Lonchura striata: one gene and its partner. The protein of the gene in region 2 interacts with the protein of the main gene of each other region in a biochemical or structural test. Links are inferred from orthologs where the notes say so. Each region holds a gene or a part of one and is shown on either strand. Other genes may lie near its edges.

Region 1 (8,337 bases), on a different chromosome or scaffold from region 2:
ACAGAAAGGGAGGTCAACACTTTGTTGCTGAACAACTGAAGTCCTGGAGAAGCCAGGGAGCAGCTTACAAGCATTCTTGCTAGCGTTGTCCATGGCAGTCATCCTGGCGCTCTGCTCGCTGGTGGTGGATTCTTTCAGGGAGTAGTACAGAATGTTTGCTAGCGTGAACTCCTGGTAGTTTCTCAGCACGTCAGCATCAAGATCATCATAGATACTTAGGCTTTCTGCAAACCATGGAGGAGCAAACTTAGACACATCCAAGATTTGCTACTTCCAGCAAAATACAATGACACAGAGAAGATTACTTGTCTGGACTGTTTCAGTACTTAAGGCAGTACAGAGAGACTCCCTGAACATATTATGTGTACCTTCAGAATCTCTATGCTACTTATAATTCTGTTAACTGTTTTATGTGTTTTAGTTCAATTTAATATTAGGAAAGTCAGACCAAAGCAAAATACATTATTACCATATTATGTTTAACTTTCCCTTACAATGCTGCAGAAACATTCTCGGAGAGCACCTTTCTGAGCCAGCCTTGGACTGATCTTGGCCAAGACAAAACTATCTGTTAAACTATGATACAAGCACCATAATAAGATGTTTTAAAATACCATAGTCCCATTTTCAGAGTACTTTTCTTGTGATTTATCACTGCATGTAACTGGTGGTTTCTAGCTCCCTACTTACCAGAGCCAGCCACCGTTTCAAAGGAGAAGATTGGTTTCTCATCAGTCTTGTAAGAGATGACAGACCTGTACAAAAAGAGCAAAACAGGTTCTTCAGTTCAACTGAACTGACTCTAAACAGAATGGTTCAAATCAAATTAGAATAGACAACTTCTGGCTTTGCAATGCCACAAGGTTTTGTGATAACACTGATGAAAAGATCTTGGATACCACATGGATATAATGATGTGCTGACTGTAAATGTTACAGTGTTCACTACACACAAGTCAAAAAGGGAGTTCTAACCACAGCTACTAGAAAAAACAGCCCAGTTCTTGACACACAACAAAATCAAGAAGTGAATATGCCATATATTCCCTTTCATATTCCCTTTCAGTTTTCATACAACTTCATCAGGCCAATATACTCTTGGAAGCATTCTGCCAAGTATTTTTCCAGTGAAGTTTAGTTCAACCTTACCTGAACCGATTGTAGATGACAGAGCCTTCATCAAATTCATACCCAGAGTTTAACAGCTCTAAAGCAATGGCTGAAGCATCTCCAAAGCTTGGAGGTCTCCGTCCCACCTCTTTGAATGTCAGCAGGAAATAGTTGCCATGTGTCCTGCAGCAACACAAAACTGTGCTAGAACCAAGTGGATGCTCTAAAACACGAGCAGCAAGACTTACTAGAAATAACTGTTTGTAATTTAGGAGTGTTCAGAATGAAACATTTTACTGAATTAGAGTCTGAAAGAAACTTTGCCTTTAGTTAAACTACAATAGCTTCACAATACACACATGTGTAACAGCATCAGTTGCCAGCTTTTATTTCAAGAATATAATAGTGCTGTGCAGCAGTCTCTCAAATTGTGACATTATCAAAACCACTTTTAAAGTATTTGCAGTTTTTTTTTTACAGGAACTTGAATTTAACACAGTTCCCTTAAATGCAATTTCCTGCCAATGGCACACAATCCTACAGTCTTGAAATTTCTACCAGAGACAACAAAACTCTAAACTAAACTTTTGGACCCCATCCTTTTTACCTTTGAAGCAGGCCTCTGATCTTGTCACCTACTCCAACCACCATAACCTCCTTCCCTGCATTTGAGAGGTTGGTAATTTCATTCTTCAAGGTTTTAGCAATAGATGTATGGATAGCACCACACAGGCCTCGGTCAGAGGACACACCAATAAGGAGGTGCTTCTTCTTGTCCTCAGGTGGCTTTATTTCTGCTTTCTCATACAGAGCTGAAAAAAAAAAAAAGATCATAACATTTTTCAAGGGTGCCAAAAAAGCTAGTAAGTAATAAAAAATGCTCTGAAATATTCTAACTAAAACCAATACCAAAGGGGCTCCAGATCTCAGCCAGATTAATTTTATCTCCTTTGCAATTGTTCCAAGTTTGCACACGGTCAGACCAGAAGTGAGGAATAAACAATTCAGAGCCAGTCACAGCTCTGATCAGATGTCACTCAGTGAAGTTCACTGTGCAAATTCTTTTGGAAACAGACTACTGGAAGGTTAAAAAGCCTTGGCATTTTATCACCACTATGAAAACCTCCTCTTCTAATCCCCCATCACTAAGTGCAAGATCTTTCTCTCACACAGAGCTCCTGTTCCATAGACCCTCGCAGGCTTCAGCTCCCTCTCAGCTCTTGCGTATTTGGCTGCAGAAACCATCTTCATGGACTTGGTGATCTTCTGGATGTTCTTGATGGACTTCAAACGCCTGGTGACTGCAAGGTTAAGAGTTGAAGGTCATGGGCTGTACTGGGCACTGTGACTCAAGCCCAAACAACAAAATGCCAGCAAGAGCCATAAAAAAATATTTTGCCATGTTCCTCAAAGAAGAAGAAATAAATAAACAAACATCACAGAAATAAACCTCATGAAAGACCTTGGTACTTGCAGTAAGACTAAGAATGTAGCTAACACAGATTCATCTTTACAATAGAGATGTTATCTCCTTCAGATATAACATTCATTTAGTATTTATCCCAACATGAAGTCTATTTACTATTCTCTTTGCTTCCACCTCTACCTGTTTCACAAATATATTATTTGAGGTATAATGTCATCTTTCACAGATGACAAGCAGAGGAAACAAACAAACAAAAAAGTCCCCATAGTGTGAAGACAGAATAAATTTCCTCCTCTGTTTAGACTGTGGTAAAATGACATTTATAAAAACACTAATGCAAAAAATAACCAAAACAGGTATCCCATTGACAAGCACAATTCCAAGGCAATATCCCTATATAAGAACTATGAGGGATGGCTTAAGGAAGCATTATCACACTGAAACCATTCAGTCAATCCTTTTTCCCCCCAAATGCTGCACAAAAGCACAAGGAAATAAACATAAGATAAACTAAGTTAACTCTTATAGGTGAGCAGAAATCTGGTTTAGCACATACAGTAAAAATATTTTTAAAATCTATTTGAGTAAAACTATAAAAAGACATTTAAATTACTGCCAAAGCCACTTCAAGCAACTCCTTTTCTGAAGGACACTTGTTTAATGTGATTAGCACTGCAGGCCTATATATCATTGTTATACATCACAATCATACCCAACAGAGGCTAAACAGTATGCTTTAACATATGGTTTTCAACATATGGCTTTCCTGCAACATTTTGCCTCTCTCAAGAGCAGTTAAACCCTTTACTTACTGTCTTTTAGCGTTGCCATATTCCTGACTTGGCCCCTGAAAAGGAATGCAGGAGAAATTAGGATAATTCACTAGCTCTCCAGCAAACCAACACCTGCCAAGGGCAAGTCCCTTTCAGGGTGATGTTGCTGTTTCTTACAAAACGTGTGGCAGAGAGAAGCCACTCTTACCTGTGGCTTGCATGCACACCTTCATCCTTCCCTACCTTATATAATTTCACAGAATCAATTAGGTTGGAAAAGACCTCTGAGACCATCAAGTCCAACCTATGACTGAACACCACCTTATCTAAGTGGTGCCCTAACTAAGCCACGGGCACTGAGTGCTACATCCAGTCTTTCTGCAGATACCTCCAGGGACAGGGACTCCACAACCTCCCTGGGCAGCTCATTCCAATGCCTAACCACGACTTCTGTGAAGAAACTGTGAAGAAACAACCTAAACCTGTGTTGTCATGTCGCTGAGAGGAGGCCAACTCCCACCTGACTGCGCTGCGCTGTCAGGGAGCTGTAGAGTGATAAGGTCACCCCGAGCCTCCTTTTCTCCAGGCTGAGCTCTTCCAGCTGCTCTTCAGAGGACTTGGGCTCCAGACCCTTCCCAGTTCCCCTTCTCCGGACTCGCCCCTGCACCTCCGAGTCCTCCCTGAGCTGAGGGGCCCCGAAGCGGCCCCAGGACTCGGCAGCGCCGAGCACAGAGAAAGGTTTAACGCCTCGGCTAAGGGCACGGGGCAAACGAGGGCATTAGAAGGGCAAATTAGAAAGAAATATTTTTAAACAAAGCTTCGTGCAATGCAATTCATTTCTAAAGGCTATTAAAACGAAGCAGAGGAGGCCAGAGCAGGGTCTCCTGCCATGTATAAACTTGTCCCTTTAACCCTTGCCTGTCCCATTCTCCCACCCACCGAGGACGGAGCCTCCCTCCCTGCGGGTCCCCGCTGCCCTCATCTCCCGGCACCGGCTCCGCCACCTCCCCTCAGAGCCCACAGCCCCTGACGGGCCGCCCGCGGCCGCGACCCCGCCGCCCCCAGGCGCCGCACGGCCAAGGGAAGCCATCCCCCCCTCACCCCGCAGAGCCGCCCCGGCCATCGGGACGCGTTCCCCCGTGCCCAGAGCGCCCGTCCCAGCCCGTGCCGGTACCATTGCGGCTGGACCAGCGCGACCGCGCCGCCCCGGGCGAACATGGCGGCGCCTCCACCACAGCCCCGCTGAAGGTCAGCGCGCCCGCAGCGCGCCTGCGCGGCCCCGCCGGGATCCGCTTCCAGGGCGCCGCCGCCATTTCCGGAGGGGGCGGGAGCCGGACCGGGACCGGGACCGGGAACAGAACCAGGACCAGGACCTGACCGGCGTCATGGGGAAGTCGGATTTCCTCAGCCCCAAGGCCATCGCCAACCGCATCAAGTCGAAGGGGCTGCAGAAGCTGCGCTGGTACTGCCAGATGTGCCAGAAACAGTGCCGTGATGAGGTAACTGCGGGCGCTGGGGGGGTCCCCGCTCCTTCGGGCGGCTCCGGTCCCCGTCTAAGGAAGGAGTCCCGGTTCTCCTGGGGTCAGCTCTTGTGGCAGCTCCGATCTCATGGAATGGCTTGGTTTGGGAGGACCTTAAAGCTCATCCACTTCCAACCCCCTGCCATGTGCAGGGACACCTTCCGCTGTCCCAGGATGCTCCAAGCCCTGTCCAGCCTGGCCTTGGACACTTCCAGGGATGAAGCAGCCACAGCTGCCCTGGGCACCCTGTGCCAGGGCCTCGCCACCCTCCGAGGGAAGAATTTCTTCCCAATATCCCATCTAGCCCTGCCCCCTATCAGTCTGAAGCCCTTGTCCCTCGTTCTGTCAATCTCCCTTGTAAATGTCCCCAGTGCTATCGAGGGGAACATTGTGGGAGCTGCGATCATACTTGTAGGAGTTTATTTGTAGTAGTTTATTTGTAGGATTTTTAGTAATCTCTTCATCTGTGAGTGTTGCAAAATGAGACGAAGACAAGCCAAGTATTTATTTCTGCTTTATAGAATGGCTTCAAATGTCACTGCATGTCTGAGTCTCACCAGAGGCAGTTGCTGCTGGCTTCTGAAAATCCTCAGCAATTCATGGATTATTTCTCTGAGTAAGTTTTCTGTATATTCTTACCCAGATCTTCATGCCTGTGTCAGGTTTGCACAGCCATACCCCTAAGATCCAATAATGCCCCATTGAAGACACTTTATTGTGATACATGTTAGTGTCAGGTCTTCTTGTAATTGAAAATTACAATGCCACGTTTAAACTTTAGATAAGAGATTTCATGATTTTATTCAGTTTTGTCTCATGTTGTAATCCTGTTTAAAGTTGCTCTGTGTTAAAAATACATCACTTTTCTGTCCCTGCTGAATGACTGCCACACACACACAAGCTAAAAGAGCCATAACAATGAAAGAGCAAGTCAGGGGAGGGACTGATATGCCCCAGCTTCTCCCAGGCCTTTGTCCAGCTGACTTACGTGACAGCTGGGATGACTGGAACTGTCCTCAGCACGAGTTTGAAGTGAGGTTTTATGCTGCAGCCCTGGGGAATTAGCAGGGAGATGAGTGATCCATCTGCTCCATCCACTCCTCTGCCCTTTGTCCTGCCCTCTGCTCTGTGTCTGTCAGCCTGGGAAGACACCTGGTAACCAAACACCAGCAATTAGTGGGAAGTGTTGAGATTCCTTTGCTCCATTTTATGCCTTTGAGAGGCTGTTACTGTCTTGTACATTTGAGGTGTGTGCATGTATCATATTGTGTTTCATCCTGTGTTTGATCCTGGTCTGCTGCAAAAGGGAAATGTGTCTGAATATTGTCACACTCAGCTCAAAAGAGTAATGAGATGTTTAATTCTTAATGACAGCAGAAAATTGCTTCTTAGTTGTTAAAGCTTACTAAAGATATTTTTTTTTTTATTTCCTTAGGGAATTCCGAAATGATTTCCTAGAATTGCTCAGAAGGCGATTTGGTAAATATTTTGCTGTTTTTTTGTTTTTCTTAGTGTCTTTTGTTGGTTCAGTGCAAGCTACATAATAGTAATAATAATTCTGTATTTTAGGAACAAAGAGAGTCCACAATAATATTGTGTACAATGAATACATCAGCCATCGAGAACACATCCACATGAATGCCACACAGTGGGAGACACTGACTGATTTTACAAAATGGCTGGGGAGAGAAGGTAGGTGTACCTGCTCAGGGAAGTCTTAAAATTATTGGGTAATTGAATTCTTGGTAATTGATCAGTAAATATGTTAGTTCTTTTTTCTTTCTTCCCCTCTCCTCCTGTATATACAAGAAAAGATTTCCAAACATATTTCTGTGCTAACCATTAGGAGTTTGCTTGTGGAAAATGTGAGACGTCTGGGATGAGTACATCACTTGTGAGCTTTTCTTGCTTTCATCTGCTGGTCTGTATTTACTGGATACACTGCTAAATTCTGAATCAACTGCTAACAGTTGCCATTTAAAAATTACAGATTATTTCCATGTCTGAGGTGACAAGAAGCAAGCAGTCACTTTAATTCCTGGCCTAGTGGAAGGGTTAGAGCTGGAGATCTGCAGTTCTGTGTTTAGTGGGAGGAAGAGAGATTTAATGGCACTGTGGTGTGACAGAAAGTTTACTTTGGCTCTGGATGCCCTTGCTCTTCAGGATACATCCAGCAGTTGCAGAGTTTGGAAAGTCTCTTGCCAGAGTTGGTAACAATAGCACAGTACTGCAATATTTCCTTTAGTATGGTACTGTGAGTGCATATCATTTATACATGCTAGATTTCTGTCTTCTTCCTTGTTAAAACAGTGGGAAGGAAACATTTTCTTCAATAAGGAAAGTCTTGTAAAACACTTCATGCCCTTTGTGATGTACACTGGCCTGTGTCCAAACACATCTGGGTAGCTGAGGGCAGAAACACGTGGTACAGATAATTCAAAGTCAGTTTTAGCAGCCCACTTGTCTCTGGTGAAGTATCTGCATTGCTACAGTGAACATGGACTAAAAATGATCTTGATATTGTTAATTTTACTTTGTTTTTGCTTGACCTTTTAGGTCTTTGCAAGGTTGATGAGACTCCTAAAGGCTGGTACATTCAGTACATTGACAGGGACCCAGAGACCATTCGCAGGCAGCAAGAACAAGAGAGGAAGAAGAAACAGGACCTTGATGACGAGGAAAAAACTGCTAAATTCATTGAGCAACAAGTTAGAAGAGGTTTGGAGGGGAAAGAACTGGTGAGAAAAATTGCACTCTGTGTGAACCTTCAGCTCAAAGCTCTTGTGGTTAAGTCAGTGGGGAGTTTGATGCTCCTGGAAGCCTTGCACTGGTATTTCCTTTGCTTCCTAACTTGGATTACATTGTACCCAGCTTGCAGTAGTAGTAAAGAAGAAATAATTACTGCTCTTCTAGTGATTAGTGATTTAAAAATCACTCTAGAATTTACAAAGCAGGAGCAAATAATCCATTAAGCTGCATGATGTCTTAATTTGTGGTATTTCACAGCTATGTAGGGCTGCAGATAACAAGTACCTGGTGCATTGAGGAGGCTGAGATAAATAACCAGGGGGATCTGGCATAATCAAGTTCACCTAGTGAAAAGTTCTATTTTGGTGGTTATTTGGGATCTGTTTACTTGGCATCATGCTATGACCCCCATACGCGTTGCCTGGGGCTGAAATCTCCCATTTGATCCTGGGTATTGATAGTTACATTTAAATGCTGTTGTAAGCAATTACCTGCTTCTTAATTTAAAATTAATTGAAATTTAAATGGTCTGAGTCTTCGGTGCCAAAAAATTGGAAAGATACCAGAATTTCCTTATTTGAATTATTAGTCTTTCCAGAAACCAGTCAGATCATGCTGGTTCAGATAGAGGAAACTGATGCATCAAGGCTACTTGCCTTTTATGCTGAAATTGAGCGAGTTTAGGCAGCATCTCTATTAATTGGAGAGTTGCACAGGAGCCTGTAGTGAGATGATGTTTTCAATTTTAATCTTTTACAAAT
Region 2 (8,183 bases):
ATGCTTTGTTCTCCAAATTCATTCTGATCCTATGCATTTCTACAGCATTCAAAAGGTGCAAAGTCAAACTGACTCAAAGGGGAAGAGACTAAATCCCCATAAACTTCCCCAAAACACAGCAAAGTGGCACTGGTAGATTGTTATGGCATTAAAGGCTGTCCTACTACAATGCAATTCTTGTCTCAATAACCAGAGGAATGTCCCAGACAGAGCTCACTGAAGTAGGCAGAACCCCCTGTCACTTCCTTCTGCTGAAAGGTTCCTTGCATCAATCACAATCACAGCTAACACATACCAAGCAGCATGAAGACCCACCACAGCATTAATTACCTGTGTTTTGACCTGTACAGGGTCAAAATTATTATTAATTTCCTTGTCAGGCCTACTTGGATAATTTTTCACATTGTCATACACCAGAACAGCTGCAGAAGTTACTCTTTTGATGTCACAACTGGGTTTGAAAAAACAATTAACACTTCTGCCACAGCAGGAATTTTGTACAGAACATTTTGTCAGCAGCTTCAAGGTCAGTTCCCTTGACAACTTTATAGCAACCTACAAGCTGGCAATCAGCCAGGGGCATTTGCCAACTAATTTCCTCTATAGCCTTGACTCTTCCAATTCTGTCAGTTAAAGTCATTGCTATGTTGAGTTTTCTTGTTGACTTTTTTTTTTAAGCAAATACCTCCCCATAAAAAAACCAATCCCTCCAACAAAAAAACCCACCAAAAGCAAAAAAACACCATATACCCAAAGAAAGCTGTTATGCTTTCTTGGAACTGATAGTAAATCATCACATAAACATTTAATTAAACTTGATAAAACAATTACTGATAGCTTATATTTTAAACTTAAGTTACATTATTTAAAACCCCTGGCTTCTTGCCTTTTGTTTGTGTATAAGGAACATCACAACCTTCTATTAATTCATGACTCCCAAAGTGCTACGTTGACAATATTGCTCAATGAACCATTAAATTAAACCTGCAAGTGAGTAAATTTGGTTACTTTTTCTCAGAAAGTAATTCAAAGTTTAATTTTTAAGACAAATCCTACAAGTTTTCCTACAAGTCCTACAAGTTTTAAGACAAATCCTACATGTCTGCAAGTTTTCTTTTTTTGGCGTTAATTTTATGAGGGTAACACAGCTAGCCCTCTTTCTAAAGACTGAGTAGGAGGTGGTTCTGCTTGTAACTGGAATAAAATATGTAACTATTAATATCAACCACTTAGAGGAGGATTCAGCTTTCCAAAGATCTGAGTACAGTTAAAATACAGTTCCATCAGTGCCAGCATCCATTACCTGGCTGTCCAACTGCATTCAGGCGTACCATGAGGTGTCTTTTGCTTGGGCAGTGCAAGTGAACATCAGACAGCACAGTGTCACTTCTAAACGTGGGGTTATCCATCTCCTTCTCTGCTAAATCTACCACAGGGTGCTGGTGAGAGGAACATCTGCAGTGCTCAAACAGCCACAAAGGGATTCCATTCTCTTCCATTTACAGGTATCCAGTAACAGCTTTGCTCACCAAGGGAAACTCAGGACATAGTTTTTGAGAAGGTGTGATCGTGCAAGCTCCACCATGCTCCAAGACAAGTTACTCATCAGGATACTCAACCTAAAACCAAACACAGGCAGCTTTTAGTGGCAGCCTGACACTGTCTGAACATTGCTCCAGAGGTATTTCAGAAGCTAAAAATCAGATTACACTGTTCAATAGAGTAGGAATGCTCCAAGGCTCTCTTTTACAGAATCCTCTGTTAGTAGTTCAGTGGCAGCCACTGCCTAATCAAAGTCTTCAAAGGGAATAAGGCCACTTCCTGTGTTGGCACTGACATCTTGAATGATTATGCTAAATTTGCTATTATCCAATTGTGCTTGAACAAGATCACTGAATGCTTCAGGCTGGAAGGGATCGCAGTGGCTCATCTGGTCCCACCTCCCTGCTCAGGCAGGGTCATTCTGGAGCACAGGATGGACTCCAGATGGTTCTGGAGTATCTCCAGTGAGGGAGACTACACACACTCTATTCTGTTCTAGTGCTCGGTCCCTGCACAGGAAGTTCTTCCTCATATTCAGGTGGAGCTTCCTGGGTATCAGTTCCTGCCCCATTGCTGGGCCCCAGGGAGCACAGCCTGGTCCCTGCTCTGAGCCCTCCTTCTAATGTTTATAAACAGTAAGAAGGCTCCTCTCAGTCATGTTTTCTCAAGTTCAGCCCTTGCTCCTAAGAATGATGCTCCAGACCCGTGATCAACTTAGTATAGCCCTACTCCCTGCTGGACCATCATACCTATCCACACTGACAACGCTCCAGGCTTTGGAAGAATTCTCTGTATCTGTGGCTGTGCAGTTCTGTTCACTTCTGCCAGCTCCAAACCTGCCCTGTCCCGGCGGGGTTCATTGCGGGAGCCTGGCAGAGGTGCGCGGGGAGCGCCCGCTCCTGCTGCGGGACCCGCCGGAGCCTCCGCGGGCACGGGCGGGACCCGCCTGTCCCCACGGCGGGACCCGCCTGTCCCCACGGTGGGACCCGCCCGTCCCCACGGTGGGACCCGCCCGTCCCCACGGTGGGACCCGCCCGTCCCCACGGTGGGACCCGCCTGTCCCGCGTCCCCACGGTGGGACCCGCCCGTCCCCACGGTGGGACCCGCCTCTCCCCACGGTGGGACCCGCCTGTCCCGCGTCCCCACGGCGGGACCCGCCCGTCCCCACGGTGGGACCCGCCCGTCCCGCGTCCCCACGGTGGGACCCGCCCGTCCCCACGGTGGGACCCGCCTCTCCCCACGGTGGGACCCGCCCGTCCCCACGGTGGGACCCGCCTGTCCCGCTTTTCCCCCGCTCTGGTCCCGCGTCCCACCGGCGGCTCTCCCCCTTTCCCCGCTCGGATCCCACCTCTCCCCCTTTCCCCAGCTCAGATCCCAGCTCTCTCACTTCTTCCCATTCAGATCCCTCCTCTCCCCTTTCCCCGCTCGGATCCCACCTTTCCCCTTTCCCCGTTCAGATCCCACGTCTCCCTTTTCCCCGTTCAGATCCCACTCTCCCCTTTCCCCGTTCAGATCCCACGTCTCCCTTTTCCCCGTTCAGATCCCACTCTCCCCTTTCCCCGTTCAGATCCCACTCTCCCCTTTCCCCGGTCAGACCCCACCTCTCCCCTTTCCCCGTTCAGGCCCCACCCTCCCCTGTCCCCGCTCGCACCTCTCCCGGTTCCTCCTGGTCCCGCCGGTCCCGCCGCTCGCTCCCTGCCGCGGTCGCTGCGGAGGTGGCGGCTCCTTCCGGCTCCTTCCGCTGACGCCGCTGCCCGGCGGCCCCCGCGGGCGCTGCGGGCGCTGGGTGCTCCCTGTGCTCGGGGCTCGCCTGCGTTTGGAGTTGCCCAGCGCCTGCGTTTGGAGTTACCCAGCGCTGAAGCCGCGGAAAGCCTGCCGGAGAGGCGGGCACGCCGCGCCGGCAGCGCAGTTCAGGCTGGCGCTGAAGCATCCGCAGGACTTGCTCGGAGTTTCAACGCGTGTTTCCTACTCGCGTTCTTTTATTAATTGTGTCTAGCATCACTTGCCCTGTCTCGGTTCATCTGTAATTCCAGGCAAAATCTACAAACGGCTTGAAAACAAAATGAGAAGACATCTGCGGAGGCAAATAGGCGTTTCTTCCTTAGTCCAGATAATGTCAGAATTCTAGTACCACTGTTAGATTAGCTGAAGCAACAGGTGTTCAGTTGTGTAGGGAATTGGGGGTTTAGTTGCTTAATTCTGAAGTTTTTATCTATGTAGTTTTTACTATGTGTAAACCAGATGAAATAAACAAGACTGAGTGGAAACATCATAACCAGAGTCTTTGAGAGGCTTTAACTACAGAGATTTACCTCAGAGTTAGACCACCAGATTTTAGTTTCTACGTTTTGAACCGTGGTCTCTTCGGCAGTCGTTTCCCAGCTGAGCTCGTCTCCAGGGCGAGCTGGCAGCTGGTCTGGCGCTGGGCTGTGTGGTCAGTGCAGAGGGGCAATGGTGTGGGACAGGACACCTCGGCAGCCGGACACTGCCAGGGACACCTGAACAGCCGGACACTGCCAGGGACACCTGAACAGCCGGACACTGCCCGGGACACCTCCACAGCCGGACACTGCCCGGGACACCTCCACAGCCGGACACTGCCAGGGACACCTGAACAGCCGGACACTGCCAGGAACACCTCCACAGCCGGACACTGCCAGGGACACCTCCACAGCCGGACACTGCCCGGGACACCTGAACAGCCGGACACTGCCCGGGACACCTCCACAGCCGGACACTGCCCGGGACACCTGAACAGCCGGACACTGCCCGGGACACCTGAACAGCCGGACACTGCCAGGGACACCTCGGCAGCCGGACACTGCCAGGGACACCTGAACAGCCGGACACTGCCCAGGACACCTCCACAGCCGGACACTGCCCGGGACACCTGAACAGCCGGACACTGCCCAGGACACCTGAACAGCCGGACACTGCCAGGGACACCTCCACAGCCGGACACTGCCCAGGACACTTCATCAGCCGGACACTGCCCGGGACACCTCGGCAGCCGGACACTGCCAGGGACACCTGAACAGCCGGACACTGCCCGGGACACCTGAACAGCCGGACACTGCCAGGGACACCTCCACAGCCGGACACTGCCCGGAACACCTGAACAGCCGGACACTGCCAGGGACACCTGAACAGTCGGACACTGCCAGGGACACCTCCACAGCCGGACACTGCCAGGGACACCTCCACAGCCGGACACTGCCCAGGACACTTCATCAGCCGGACACTGCCCGGGACACCTCCACAGCCGGACACTGCCAGGGACACCTGAACAGCCGGACACTGCCAGGGACACCTCCACAGCCAGACACTGCCCGGGACACCTCCACAGCCGGACACTGCCAGGGACACCTCCACAGCCAGACACTGCCAGGGACACCTGAACAGCCGGACACTGCCCGGGACACCTCCACAGCCGGACACTGCCAGGGACACCTGAACAGCCGGACACTGCCAGGAACACCTCCACAGCCGGACACTGCCCAGGACACTTCAGCAGCCGGACACTGCCCAGCCCTCTGTACAAAATCACTGACAGAGGTGCGCTCCAAACTCCCATCTGCGTTCTACTTCGCCTCCTCGGCAAGTCCGCCGTAGCTGTTGGAGCTGTTTTATCTTTCAGCAGGAGGATCTTGTTCAAAAGCGGCCATTTACATATTGATTACCTCATTAGCATATGATGCTAATGTCAACTGCTATAGATGATCCTTGTATTTTTCATGAGTACTAGGAAGTATTAGTCAATGCATAAAAAACCCTTGGAATATAATTTATAGTCTGTATCTATTTCTAGATGTCTCCTTATCATCTGCCTCCCTCAACAAAAGCTAATAATTATTAAAATAATTATTAAAACAATTAAATAATCTTTCCCTATTTTTACAGTCAAGAGTTTTGAGTGGCAATTAAATGGAAAACACAGAAGCCATTCAGCTATCTCATTGCAATTACTGTGGGGAATTCTATTGGATGACTATCTGACAAAAATGCTTTGGAGATTTGTTCCCTTTTAACCGTCTCCTGTGAAAGAGCAGAACATTATTTTACTTCCCTTGGTGATACACTGCCACATAAATTATTACTGCGGTGTCTCTCTCTTCTGGCATGTTCCTCACTGCTATGGAGCACTAAGCAGGCAAAGCAGATTACATTTGTCATGAAATCTCACCAGTCTGCAGCAAGAGGCACTTACTGGTACACAGGTTTAGCATAATTAGAGAAGTAGCTAAAAAGCTGTGTTACATGGGCACTTATAAACACAAAGGTACATTATGTGAGAAATGGATTTCTTAAAAAGCAATGCTGCTGCAATTGCTTTTCTAAGAATTGCTGATACTTCGTTTCACATATGCATAATATTTGGGCAAAGCAGGAATATCTTGTGGCTGCAGAAGATGTGCAGCTACAGGTGTTACAACATATAACATAACATAACATAACATAACAAACATAACATAACATAACAAACATAACATAACATAACACAACACAACATAACATAACATAACATAACATAACATAACATAACATAACATAACATAACATAACACAACATAACACAACATAACATGATGAAAATTGTTTAGGGACATGCAGTTTCTGTACTACACACAAGAGGGCTTGGGCAGTAAATTCCTGTACCTCTTTTAAGGATGGACCTCAGTTACATTCCTGATTTCCTCACAGCCATGTGACCTAGGAATTTGTTTAAATTTAGCTTACATGCCAGACAACTTTACCAAAGTTTAATTGCTTGTTTGGAATGATGAATTGGGCCAGTTTCATCCATTGATCAAGTACTAAGAAGCTGTACTGGTTACTTCAGGTATGTCCCTCCTGCAACCCCCTTTGAATTCAATGGGTTTTTTTGGCAGATCAGGTAATATTGAGTAAGAGTCGGGACCTTGTATATCTTGTAGTCTCTCATCAGAGATAAATTGTGACTAGTCAGCCCTTTTTTAAATTCATTGTAGGTTGTGACTCTTCAAAACTGAATGGGTACAAGTGCATGATGAAAAGATTAAATTTGTGAAGGAATAGCCAAGCCTCATATCAGCCAATCAGTAGTTATTAATTTCCAAGGGCAGAAAATCTGAAAATTATAATAATGTATATTGTCTAACAGCTTTTCTCTTTTGAGCCACAGGGGAAGTAGTTGTGGTAAGTTTAAAAGAACAATAAACTCTAGAATCCCGTTAGCTTTACTGGAAGAATGAATGGTAAAACTGTTTGAATTTAATTCTTCACTCAACAAAAATAACACCATCAACAATAACAAAACCAAACCAAACCAACAAAACAAACAAACAAAAAAAAAAAAAAAAAAACAAAAAAAAACAGGAGAAAAAAAAAAAAGTGATATTTCCTGGAAAAGGATTGTGAATGAAATGAGGTGTGTTGATTGTGCTTGTCACCATGGCAGGAATTAATTACAGTCATTGGTGCACACTTGCACTGACTGGCTTTCCTACAGTCAGGGGGGTAAACATCGTGGGAATCCCTCCCTTCTTCAGTTTATAAATAATCTACTTCTAGTAATGCAGTCACCTCTTCACAAATACAGACAGGGCAGAGGAAATGAAATAAAGAAGCACTGGGGAAATCTAAGGAATGCAGTGGGATTGTGCTGCACCTGAACAGCACAGGTTCAGAACAGTTGAGAAGGAACTGCCCTAGAGATGCATTTTACCTGGGAAAAGTCCTGGGAAGCAAAGCTGGTGATTCCCAGAGCACCACGAAACCTCCAGCACCCAGCCAACCCTGCGAGCAGAACAGAGAGGGTAAAAGTTGCTTACAGAAGCTTTGCCATGCTCAGGCTTGAGGAGACTGATAATCTTGCTGCATCACACTCTGGGGACTAATAATTGACTGCAACTTTGAGAGCATATTCTGAATTATCTTTGTTATTCTGCACAGCAGATTGACTTTGGCAGACGCAACCAACACCTAGTCTATGCAGTGTTCTTTCTCTATAAAGCTAAGCCTAGATTAAAATTTTGACTCTTTTATGGTAAAGATCCTAATTTAACATTGAAAGACCTCAGGAAATTGAAACTGCGTCTCTAGAGAAACTAATTTGCACTACTGCTTTTTCCTTTCATTATAATCATTTCCCAATGAATACATGAAATTGTTTTGTTAACTATGTTCTTAGTTTTCTGACTTTGCAGGAATTATTTGTTCCCTAGCATGGCAATGAATGCCTAAAAAAATTACAGTGATGTGGGAATTAAATCTTTATGTAGTGTTGATTTACTCTTGATATAAATGCTCGTCAGCAGTCTGGTCAAAAAAGGACCTGGGGTTAGCAGGCTCTAACTTAGGTTTACTGCAAAGTCGGTCTAGACAGAGTCTACAAGGACCTCTGCACATCTTGATGGCTAAAATTGATTATTTAATAATGTTTCTAAAAATAAGCATATTTACAAACTTTGTGGGCCCCAAGATTAGAACAAAACCTCTCCAAGACACGGAGTATCACTGATGAGCATCTCATATCTGATTAACAGCTTGTATCCAGCTGGGTTAAATGTTCCTGCAGTTTTATAGCCTTTGCTTTCCCTTGGCTTTAACTGGGAGATGACAGTGGCAGATCATTGCAGGTGAGTGAGATTCAGGTGTATGAG

Evidence for each region.
Region 1: of the proteins of METTL22 (region 2) and KIN, one has a biochemical effect on the other in vitro, tested with the Homo sapiens proteins (2 studies listed by BioGRID). The link is inferred for Lonchura striata from reciprocal best matches to the Homo sapiens genes METTL22 and KIN.

Annotation. Positions count from the first base shown.
Region 1 is NC_134607.1:68,974,893-68,983,229, forward strand, and holds the start of KIN (DNA/RNA-binding protein KIN17), read left to right. Parts: upstream 1-4,621; 5' UTR 4,622-4,693; coding exon 4,694-4,807; intron 4,808-5,349; coding exon 5,350-5,444; intron 5,445-6,263; coding exon 6,264-6,307; intron 6,308-6,397; coding exon 6,398-6,520; intron 6,521-7,384; coding exon 7,385-7,566; intron 7,567-8,337. Other genes in the region: ATP5F1C (ATP synthase F(1) complex subunit gamma, mitochondrial), read right to left, coding at 69-224, 691-755, 1,149-1,292, 1,717-1,921, 2,279-2,410, 3,348-3,382, 4,483-4,526. UniProt on the Homo sapiens protein: Involved in DNA replication and the cellular response to DNA damage. May participate in DNA replication factories and create a bridge between DNA replication and repair mediated by high molecular weight complexes.
Region 2 is NC_134618.1:6,647,424-6,655,606, reverse strand, and holds the start of METTL22 (methyltransferase-like protein 22), read right to left. Parts: upstream 3,335-8,183; 5' UTR 3,194-3,334; intron 2,393-3,193; exon of another isoform or gene 2,292-2,392; intron 1,620-2,291; 5' UTR 1,500-1,619; coding exon 1,304-1,499; intron 1-1,303. UniProt on the Homo sapiens protein: Protein N-lysine methyltransferase. Trimethylates KIN at Lys-135 (in vitro).